2 linked regions of the Macaca mulatta genome follow. The protein of the gene in region 1 interacts with the protein of each later gene in a biochemical or structural test. Links are inferred from orthologs where the notes say so. Each region holds a gene or a part of one and is shown on either strand. Other genes may lie near its edges.

The links.
Region 2: the proteins of DNAJC3 (region 1) and THAP12 form a complex in vitro, tested with the Homo sapiens proteins (2 studies listed by BioGRID). The link is inferred for Macaca mulatta from reciprocal best matches to the Homo sapiens genes DNAJC3 and THAP12.

What each region holds. Positions count from the first base shown.
Region 1 is NC_133422.1:90,496,408-90,502,249, forward strand, and holds part of DNAJC3 (dnaJ homolog subfamily C member 3), read left to right. Parts: intron 1-1,357; coding exon 1,358-1,463; intron 1,464-1,547; coding exon 1,548-1,668; intron 1,669-5,842. UniProt on the Homo sapiens protein: Involved in the unfolded protein response (UPR) during endoplasmic reticulum (ER) stress.
Region 2 is NC_133419.1:76,759,099-76,764,940, forward strand, and holds the end of THAP12 (52 kDa repressor of the inhibitor of the protein kinase), read right to left. Parts: intron 3,927-5,842; coding exon 1,996-3,926; 3' UTR 1,086-1,995; downstream 1-1,085. UniProt on the Homo sapiens protein: Upstream regulator of interferon-induced serine/threonine protein kinase R (PKR). May block the PKR-inhibitory function of DNAJC3, resulting in restoration of kinase activity and suppression of cell growth.

The DNA of each region.
Region 1 (5,842 bases):
AAGTCTGCCCTTTTCAGGTCCTCTGGCTAGAGACAGCAGCCTTCTGCAGGTTTTTGTTACTGTCGTTCTGTACCTGTTGGCATTTCTGCATTGCTGGAATCTTCAGCTCCAAGTCTGGGATACATGAGATGAAAAAAGGAACCCAGGGAACTTCTTACCATGTTTTTCCTCAGGTCCTGAGTCACTAGCTAGTCTGTCTTCTCTCCTCCTTTGAAAGTTTTCTATTTTAAAAAATATACATTTAATTTCTAGGGTTTTTAGTTGTGCTTAGCTGGAGGAATTGGGAAAAATACATCTATTCCACTTTCCCAGAAGCTGGCTTTTTTGCTTTTTTCTTTTACTTTAAGTTCCAGGATGTATGTGCAGAACGTGGAGGTTTGTTACATAGGTAAACGTGTGCCAAGGTGGTTTGCTGCACCTATCAACCCATTACCTAGGTATTAAGCCCCGCATTCATTAGCTATTTGTCCTGATGCTCTCCCTCCCCTTGCTGCCTGCCCCACACAGGCCCCCGTGTGTGATGTTCCCTTCCCTGTGTCCATGTGTTCTCATTGTTCACCTCCCACTTATGAGTGAGAATATGCAGTGTTTGGTTTTCTGTTCCTGTGTTAGTTTGCTGAGGATGATAGAGAAGCTGGCTTTTATTTTAAATGTTTTAGTTAAGCCTGTGTTTTAATACATCAGCATATTTACATATGAAGATTGTAGCACATTGGGAATAATGTGCCACCATGGCATAGAAACATATTTTTTAGTTTACTATTGTTGAGGAAAATAACTGAGTATCTATAACAGGATTAGTACTTTTTACTGGTTTGAAGAAAATGCTGAAATAGCTTTTATTCTTAGAAAGCTTATACAGTTGGGAATTTAATCAGGTACCTTCTGTATGAACTACATTGTACTTTGTTGTGAATACTGACATTAATTATATAAAATGGCACTTAATGGGTTCCGTTATTTTCATGGAAGTGTTTACTGACCAAGAAATAAAACTTGATCTCTGTATTGTTCAATGTGCTCAGTATAAGTCAGACTTCAACAGGGTATTTTACTCAGGTTCGGAATTCTGAGCTTGTTTCTGTAAGGAAATTCTTCTGGTTTGATTGGTACTTACAGGTATGCTTTGTTCTGTCCATCTGCATCTCCTATGGTCAGATGTTTTTATTTCTTAACTCTTAATTATGGAGTGTACCTTCTATGGGACTCTAGATTAATAAGGGAAAAGCCAAATCTGAAGCCGTGGCCTCATCCAGTTGGATTGATTAAGCAACACATGGTGAAGAGGGGAGGAGCCTTTCTACAGCTCTGGAAATCGAATGTCATTGTTTCTTATCATGATTTGCTCATTTCTTAGATACACAGATGCTACCAGCAAATATGAATCTGTCATGAAAACAGAGCCAAGCATTGCTGAGTATACAATTCGTTCAAAGGAGCGGATTTGCCATTGCCTTTCTAAGGTAACAGTTGACTTGTTCCCAGAAATGTGAAAACTCATCATGTGGAATACCAACCATAAATCCCTTTCTCACATTTCCTTTTAGGACGAGAAGCCTGTTGAAGCTATTAGGGTTTGTTCTGAAGTTTTACAGATGGAACCCGACAATGTGAATGCCCTGAAAGACCGAGCAGAGGCCTATTTGATAGAGGAAATGTATGATGAAGGTAAATCTTTAAGGAATTTGATTTGCAGTACCGAAGTGTTGATTAGGAAATTATCACATTTTAAGCTTCCTTTTCCTTAAAACAAGTTTACCGGAGTACCTGGAAATGGTGACGATTTAGAAAAATGGCAGAGAGCTTGAAAATTACTCTTCCATAGTGGAACCTGAAAGGTATACCATGGGAGGAAAGAGTTCTGCCATTGAAACCAGTTCAGTACAATAGAAAAATAAGTATTTTAGCTTTTTTTTGTAGAAAGTTAGGAAAAAAATAAAATAGAAAATTTAAATGTAGTTCTCATGTCATCCAGAGGTAATCACTGTTCATTTTGCATTTATCTTTTCCAGCTTATGTCTATGCACATACATTACTCTATATTTTATGCACATATACATATTCTCTCTCTCTATATATATATACACACACACACACTCGGTGTGTATGAAACATATATACAGAAAGCATACATATATGTCATATATCCCTAATATAAAATGATCCTCTGTGACCCCAAACTGTGTAGTAAAATAGGACAGTTGCTGCCCTGTTTTGTTCAAGCCGAATGAAGTAACAAGATTCCTGCTAGATGTTGTGAGGACCTTGGTTAAAAGCAGTGTCCTGTTTTTGGAAGAAAACTGTGGCGTATATAGTAATATATAGTTTTTGAAAAATAGAATCCATATATATATATGGAGATATATATATATATAGTTTTATACTTTTTTTCATGTGACACTAAGTTATGAACATTTAAATGAAACAGTTTTTAAAAAAATAGCGTTATAAGCCCTTATTGCAAATATTTTGTTTCAAATTCAGATAAAGCATTTTAAATCAAAAACTAATTTTCTCTTATAGTTAAATGAAGGGTTTGAATGGTAAAATTTGGTTTGTGATACTCTTTTTAAGGCAAAACTGGTCAATCTATTTTTCCCTGCTTTCCTCAATTAGAAAAGAATCTTGCTCCTAAGCAAGTTCCCGGTTTCCAGGGAATGATAACAACCTGGTCACTACTATTCCTGTGACATCTTGTGGGGGATTCAGACCTTGAGGTCTCTGAATGAGGCTTGAAATGAATGCAGTCAAAATGATGTTTTAATATTCATAAGCATGCTTCAATAAGGCAGGTAGTCCACATAGAAAATCCCTTTAGCACACTCGTTCTCTTTCCTTTTGAGCCACCGTGTCTACTCGCTGAGATGGTTTTACTCTAGGATTTTGCATTCCAGTTAGTTTTTGGAACTCTTTATCAAAGATACTTTTGTCATCTGTATGTAAACCCTTAGCTCTTACTGCGAAATTAGAGAAGCTACAGAAGAATATAAACAGCTTAGCTGTTAAAAAAAAAAAAAAAAAGAAGGCTAAATCTTGTAGAATGCTAAATATAATTTGAAAGATGCTTTTGAAACTTGAATGTTAAACTGACTTGCTTTTTGGGGAAACCTGATGGCTTAATTCTGGAAGAAAAAGATGCTTAGTGCTAATTTGATATAATTGATCTGGTTTCTTTTTTTTTTTTTTTGGAAATGGAGTCTTGGTCTTTTACCCAGGCTGGAGTGCAATGGTGCAATCTTGGCTCACTGCAACCTCCGCCTCCTAATTGCAACCAGTTCTTCTGCCTTAGCCTCCCGAGTAGCTGGGATTACAGGTGTGCACCACCACGCCTGGCTAATTTTTGTACTTCCAGTAGTGATGGGGTTTCACCATATTGGCCAGGCTGTTCCCGAACTCCTGACCTCAAGTGATCTGCCTGCCTTGGCCTCCCAAAGTGCTCGGATCACTTGGCCCTGCCCAGTTGATCTGTCTTTGAAGCCTGTTGTTTCCTTGAAAAAATTCTTTTGTATAGGAATTTATTAAAGAGAGAGAGAGAATGGTTGCCAGCTCTCTAAATTTGCAAAAGAAAGAAAGGAAAAGAGCCTGTATAATTGAAACTGACAAGTATTACCTGACTCGTTTGGATTGGAATCAGGGGTTTAGTAAATGATGTAAATAAATAATAATCTTACTTAACTAAGCTAAATAACAGTATGTCTTCAGTTTACTTGAGTTAGAAATATGCTTTCCATATTCTTCTTCCTGGTTTTACCTTTTTTAAATAAGCAATTAAAAATGATGGCAGGTACATAATAAAGAATGAATAGGTTTAGGTTAGTGAATAATGGAACATGGACGTTTATTAATTTGGGGCTTAGAATTATCAGGAAACATATCGGGATATCACTCAATAGAAAGGAAGTAAAGTAAGACTGTTATTTGAGGATGCCTCTGAGATCTTGAAAAATCAAGGGAAATTCTTTATCTCTGCATGTCTCCGTTTTAATAGCTTTTGAGAGGAAGAAACTGACATTGAAGCAATACGAAAATATTGACAAATTCCTTTGAATATAGGGGTAACACAGGTGTCCTTAGGAAATGATCAGTTATATTTTGCTAGAACTTTAGCTGTGTGAGGGCAGAGACCTGTGGCTGTTATATTAACTGATGCATTCCTGGTGCTTATGCTGGCACTCATGTTTGCTGAATGAATGAAGGTAATTTATTTATTATACAATGAAGTCATAGTGGAGAGTAGGGAATTTAGAATTAGTCCTGCCTTTGAGTCTGGCTTTGTGCAGTTATTCTATTTTTTTTTTTTTTTTTTTTTTTTGAGATGGAGTCTCGCTCTGTAGCCCAGGTTGGAGTGCAGTACCGTGATCTCGGCTCACTGCAACTTCCGCCTTCCGGGTCCCAGTTCAAGCAATTCTCCTGCCTCAGCCTTCCGAGTAGCTGGGATTACAGGAACTGTGCCACCATGCCCAGATAATTTTTGTATTTTTAGTAGAGACAGGGTTTCACCATGTTGGCCAGGCTGGTCTTGAACTCCTGACCTCGTGATCCACCTGCCTCGGCCTGCCAAAGTGCTGGTATTACAGGCGTGAGCCACCGTGCCTGGCCAGTTATTCTATTTTTTGTTTTTAATTCTGGTAAAAGATACAATATAAAATTTACCATCTTAACCATTTTTACATGTATAATTTAGTAGAGTTAAATATGCTCACATTGCTGTGAAAAAGATCTTCAGAACTTTTTCATCTTTCTAATCTGATCTCTGTACCCATTAAACAGCCGCTCCTTTTTACCTCTCCCTTAACCCTTGGGAACCACCGTTCTGCTTTCTGTCACTATGAATTTGACTATTCTAGATCCTCATATAATTGGAATCATATACTATTTGTCTTATTGTGCCTGGCATGTTTCACTTAGCATAGTATCCTCCAGGTTCATCCATGTTGTGGCATGTGACAGGATTTCTTTTTCTTTTAAGGCTGAATAGTATTCCATTGTATGGATATCCCACATTTTGTTTATTAATTCATCCACTGATGAACATTTGTGTTGTTTCTGCCTTCTGGCTATTGGAATGGTGTTGCTATGGATATGGGTGTGCAAATATCTCTTTGAGACCCTGGTTTCAATTATTTTGGATATCTACCTAGAAGTGGGATTGCAAAATCATATGCTAGTTCTTTTTTAATTTTTTGAGGAACCTGCATACTGGTTTCTGTCATGGTTACACCATTTTACAATTTTACTAGCAGTGTATAAAGATTCTGATTCTTTCACATCCTCATCAACACTTTTTTTTTTTTTTTTTTTTGAGACAGAGTCTTGCTCTGTCAGGCAGGCCGGAGTGCAGTAGTGCAATATGAGCTCACTGCAGTCTCCACCTTCTGGGTTCAGGTGATTCTCCTGCCTCAGCCTCCTGAGTAGCTGGGATTACATGTGTGTGCCACCACACCTGGATTTTTATTTTTATTTTTTTTAATTTTTAGTGGAGACAGAGTTTTCACCATGTTGACCAAGCTGGTCTCAAACTCCTGACCTCAAGTGATCCACCCGCCTCAGCCTCCCAAAGTGGTGGGATTATAGGTGTGAGCTACCATGCTCAGCTGGTCAACATTTTAGATTTTCTCTTTTTTTGATAGTAGCCATCTTAATGGGCTTGAAGGTGGTACCTGGTTTTGGTTTTGATTTTGATTTGTATTTCCCTAATGATTAGTGATGTTGAGCATCTTTTCATATGCTTGTTGGCCATTTATATATTTTCTTTGGAGTATGCCATTTATTTTTGCTATATGGTTTCAATCAAGCCATTTAATTTGTTACTTTTTACTCTACTTATCTGTAAAATAGGAAT
Region 2 (5,842 bases), on another chromosome or scaffold:
AATGAATATTTTTGAATACATTATTTGGCAGACTGAAAAGGGGGCCATTATTTTGTAGCTCCTCCCAACAAAAGCAGTCTATTTCCTCATCCTTCGAATCCAGACCGGCCGAGTGACTTGCTTGGACCAAAAGAATGTGGTGAAAGTGATGCTCTGAATTACTGAGTCCAGGTTTTGAAACCACTGCCTTTGCTTTCCTGGTACTCTTGAGACCACCATTACATAGCGCAAGATAAAAGACCACATGGAGAGGCCCAGTCATCATATTCAGTCCCCAGCCACCCTCCCAGCTGAATGCAGAGCCCAGATGAGACTAGCAGAAGAACCACTCAAGCAACCCACAGAACTGTGAGAAATGGTTAAATGTTTAAGCCACTAAATTTGGGGGTAATGTTAAGCAGCAATAGGTCACTGATGATAAATTAACCCTCATAGCACAACCTTAAGGTAGATTTTATAGTTGAGGAAACTGACGCAGGTTAAATAACCTGCCAAGGTCACACCACTCTTAAGTGCCCTAAGAACAGGATGAATATATTGAAACACCAGCTTTGTGTCTCCTTCATTGTCATCCTGCCATCATGAACTTGATCAGTTCTTTCTGACAAGGACAGAGGCATCTCTTAGAGCCCTGGCTACAAGATAAACTCTTACCTTTTTGATAAGCTGCATGCATAATGTGTCTTGATTTGACACGTCTGTGGGCTTTCCTAGGACAGAGAAATGGACTGTGAGCTATCATTCTCAGCAGTCCAGCAAATACACACCACTCTGGTTTCTGAAGCTCAAGGAACACTTACTCCCAACATAAAATAATTCATTAACACCTCTGCATTCATTTTAGCCAGCAATAATAAGACAAACTGACAATTTATATCAGGGCCCACACAGTACATCAAAAAAAAAAAAAACACCTAGTTGGGTGAACCTTACATTTAATACTTTCTTAATTGTTTTTTTCTATAACCCAATTAGTAAACCACATACAAAAGACTCATCTTGAATTGTGAAGCAGTTTATCAAAAGTTTTTTAAGAGAATTTACACAAGAATGTTTTGACCCCACCAAAAATAATATGCCTAAGCTTTAAACAAAATTCACATTTTATTTAGATTGAAATAAACTATACAAAATTGATTTTCTTCACCAAAAATAACAGCAATATTTTCCATATTTTTCTAGATAAACCACAACACTTATTTTTGTAGGTTTTCCAGGTTTTGCTTATAAATCAAGATGAGGCAGTAGATAAGAGTCATGGAAAAAGACAGAAAAAAACAGACAAATCAGTTGTCAGTATCCATGGCCTCTGATTCTGTCTCAACCATGAAACAGAAGTGTTCAACATATACCTGCTAAAAAGCTTAGGAAGATGTAGGCTCCAGAAAGGAATGTAAACAGCAACAATGAGATGTGGAACAACAGCAGGCCTTTCCATTCAAACTTTGTCATTTGTTCCTTTAAGTTCGAGAAAGACAAAATCTACACTGAAATCCTTGTTTGGCGAGCTCGCAAGCTTTTCTCCAGTAATTTCTTGTAACTGTCCAGTATAGATTTTTAGCACATTTAAAACTCCTATTAGTCAAAGATCAATTGTGGGCTTCACTATACCATTTTATAAAATGTATTCCTTCCTCCCACACCTCTTCAAAATGTATTTCTTCAAAGAATTCATAACACCCAACAAGTAGAGAGCCACAGTGATAATAAATGCTATGTCTAAAATGACTTAACTAAAACAATTCCAGAGTGCCGTCAACAGAGATCACACAGAAGGAAACATGGCACTTTCAATGTTCTCTTCTGGAAGGACAGGTAGGTCTTCAAAGCATGAGAGTTCAAAAACAGGGGCCATTTAAACAGGTAGATTACCAATGGCTAATGTATTCAATGGAGTCCTATAGGCAAAGATATTTAGTGATTAAGTGGCCTACATACACCTTACGGCTTTTCTTCCAAGTATCAAATATAAGAAAGCCTGTTTTTAAAAGTCCCTTAGGTATTTTCCACAGTTTCAGAATTATCTGTGGGAAGCTCTGACTTACTTGTATAGAGTTTAATATATGTGTCCACCATTAAATCCAGGTCGTGTTTTATATCAAAATTTATGTTAAGCAAAGCCAAGTTACTCGACCTTTGGTCTGTCAAAGTGTTCCTCAAATATGCTTTAAGACGCTTTCGTCCATTTTCATATCGCTCATTCTCAACCTTCATCACAGGAAGAATACACAGGACCTTCAGCAATGCATACACATTAGGAAAAAACTTGATGTCAGGCAGGTGGAGGGCTTCATAGATGGTGGATGGAAGCTCTATATCTTTCCCCCTGTGTTTCCATTTGATTCTCCAACAATGAAGCTCGGCTGACAGCGTGTCAGGATTGGGTAAGTCACTTCTATACATGTCAGCATGGTGTTCCTCCGACGTATTGAATTTGAGTTGTCCCATGACTGAGGGTACCAGAGACAAGCATTTAAGAGCTTTGAGGTGCTGTTCTGAGAATATATCTTTAAGTTCCTGAATAATGTGCTCCACTGTTGGGACACTTAGGGTTTCTTTATAGTAACTCTCAGAGGTTAGCTGAGATTCCAAGTTACCCTGGTGAGCTCTGCGGAATTTCCCAGGGAGTTTCATTTGAATATCAAGTTTGGTTGCCAAATTTGTGGCTTCCTCAAACCAAAATTCATGATAAACTTCAATATTTTCCATCACTTCATTGAGTGAATGCAGTACTGCAGTCAAGCTACCAGCTGCAAAGAAGACATCAGAAGTTTGCCCCTGGAGATTTTTCCCAAAGGCTCTTGTAAAAGATAGGACATTTTTAAGAACAACAATAGTAACAATGAAATCAAAATCTGTTACTGCACTGCAGAGTACAAATGCTCGGCCAGCTATACAGTTATTCCATCTAACATTTGTGTCACTATTTATACCATCTAAACATAAAACAAGTGCTTGCAGGAGTTCCACTAAAATTTCAAAAGCATCATGCCTGCCTGTCCAGTGGGAATGGCAGATTTCCTTCAGTTCTTTACCCCTTTCTTTACTGTTCTGAAAAAGAACAGAAATTACATTGTCAAGTTCTAAAAGCAGCTGTGGTGATCGATGGAAAAAAGAACAAACTTCCTCAATTGTTCCTAACGCAACAGATACTCCCATAACAGGTACTGATTTTGCCAACCACGTATTTAAGGCACAGGAAGAGCAGAGTGTGTAGATAGCCTGGGGATATTTCTCTAAAAGTCTAGAAGCAACAACTTTCATTTTGGAAGAAAATCCACTAGATACAATGTAAGCCTGGCCACGACAATACTCCATATTTAATCCCCACTTCTCAGTTATCATAGTGTGAAATTTCACAGCCAAAATTTCTGCATCAGCTTCATAAGGCAGGAAGCCTATAAATTCCTCTCTTAGGTTATGAGATTCATCAACAAACCTAACCAACACAGGTAGGTGCTCTTCCCCTGCTATGTCCACTACATCATCAGTGATAATGGAAAAGAAGTGTGAGTCTCTCACTTCCCTGAGAGTTTCTTCTCGAATACAGCTCTCACAGATCTCTAGCATCTGCCTCTGCTGTGTTTTCGAACAAAACAACGTGTTAACTGCTGTTGTCTCAAACCGCTTTCTCAGAACCTCTTCACCAGAATTTATCCTACACTCTAGCAGTGCCTGAAAGTTATCTGGAGTAAAGAGACCTTCTGGGATTTCATCAGCCTCATGTCCATCCAGAGGTATGTTTTGCTTTCCCATCAGAATCAATATTTCAAATAGAGATTTTAGGTATTCTTTGTTTTCCTTCTCTTCAAGGGTTAGAGGTAAAATGTCCTCATCTTGCCCTTCACCCTCTTCTTCACTGGGGTTCTGAGCATTGCTATTGTTGGTTTCTTTATGTTTTTGTTCCTGCTCAGAAGTTTCATCAACTGGAAAACAAAGAATTAATGTTACAAACAGGCTCAAGAAAAACCATACAAAACAAAAAATATTACACCTTTGGTTAAATATTTAAAATCCACAAACTCATTCATTCAATATTCATAGGGCATTTACTAGACTACAGACTAAGATAGAGATTAAAATAAGACACTAAGATAAGACACAATCTAGTGGGAGAGACAGTATAAACAGATATATTTTAATCCTAGATGTAAACGCTGTTATAAGATAGGAATAATTTTTTTTTTTTTTTTTAAGAAGAAGAAGCGGGTCTCAATATGTTGCCCAGGCTGGTCTTGAACTCCTGGCTTCAAGTGATCCTCCCACTTCAGCTCCAAAGTACAAGGATTAAAGGTGTGAGATACCACATCCAGCCTAATTTTTAAAACACACTTAACAAGACATTCCACATATGTAATGAATGACAGTCCATGCCCTCAGAAAAACAAAGTGGGACAGAACTAATTACTAAACTACTGTGCTTAGTATTTTATATGCATCACATTACCCTCTCTTCAGGCAGGTGGTATCAACCCCACTTGACAAATGAGGACACTAAGTAAACTTCCCCAAGATCACAAATACAGTTAGAAGAATGGAAGTAAAGTTGAAATCCAAGTGTGTCTTGCTCCAAGGTCCATGCTGATGCTGTTTTTATCAAACCATGATGCCACACATTTATATGGGAGATATGGGACAACTGTACAAACCAGTATAATATAAAGGAGATTAATGTAATTCTTAGGGCTAGTATTAGAATATCACACAGCCTAATCTCTTCATAGGGGATAGGAAAACTGAGGCCCTACAGGCTAAATGCCCTGTCCATAGTTATACAGGTCACTGGTGTCTGCAGGAAAATAATCCAAATCTGAGGAGTCACAGTTAAAACCTAGTTCTTAGAACATAAGACTATGGCCAGGTGCGGTGGCTCACGCCTGTAATCCCAGCACTTTGGGAGGTTGAGGTGGGTGGATCATGAGGTCAGGAGTTTGAGACCAGCCTGGCCAAGATGGTGAAACCCTGTCTCTACTAAAAATACAAAAATTAGCTGGGCGTGGTGGCATGTGCCTGTAGTTCCCACTACTCGGGAGGCTAAGGCAGGAGAATCGTCTGAACCCGGGAGGCAGAGGTTGTAGTGAGCCGAGATCGTGCCACTGCACTTCAGCCTGGGCAACAGAGTGAGGCTCCATCTCAAAAAGAAAAAAGACTGTGGAGGGCGGCAGGGAGAAACAAAAATTCAGAAGTTGCATTTGATGACAAGGATAAATAAGAGGGACATGAACAAGGAGGGCATTTCAGTTGGTGAGAATTATTCCAGCAAAAGCACTAAGGTAGAAGAGGGAAGCAGGCTGTCCAAGTACAAAGGGAAATCTAGTCTGACTGGAGCCTGTGTGAGCCATACTTCAGAGCTTAATAAGGGTTCAGCAAAATGCAGGGAGCATCCTTCCCTCACCCCTCCTCAAATCAGATGACACTGCTATTCATCATACGTGACACAGCAGTGGTTCTATTCTAGGGAAGCTTCCCAAGCCAGAAAGCAAGAGGTTTTCCTGGACGCCTGCCTGTCTGGCTCTCTCCCTCTCTCCTCCATTGTTTCTCTACTTCCAATTAACTAGTACTAATTCCCTTGCTTTTATTTTTTTTCAAAAAGAAGTTCATTAAAGAGCAAAGAGTACAAAGTGAAAAGTCAAGTCCCTCTTCTTTTGGGCATCTTTCCTAGGTGTCATAGGTATACAAATTTCTTAAGTTCCCTGAATCTATTCTCTTTACTCTCTCTACCATTGCCTTAATTCAAGGCCTTTCAACTTTTATTTGGTCAGCTGACAGCCCAACTGGCCTCCCTGCCTCCAGTGTTACCTTTTGTAATCCAACAGAGTACTCTATGTACCATGGAAATCAG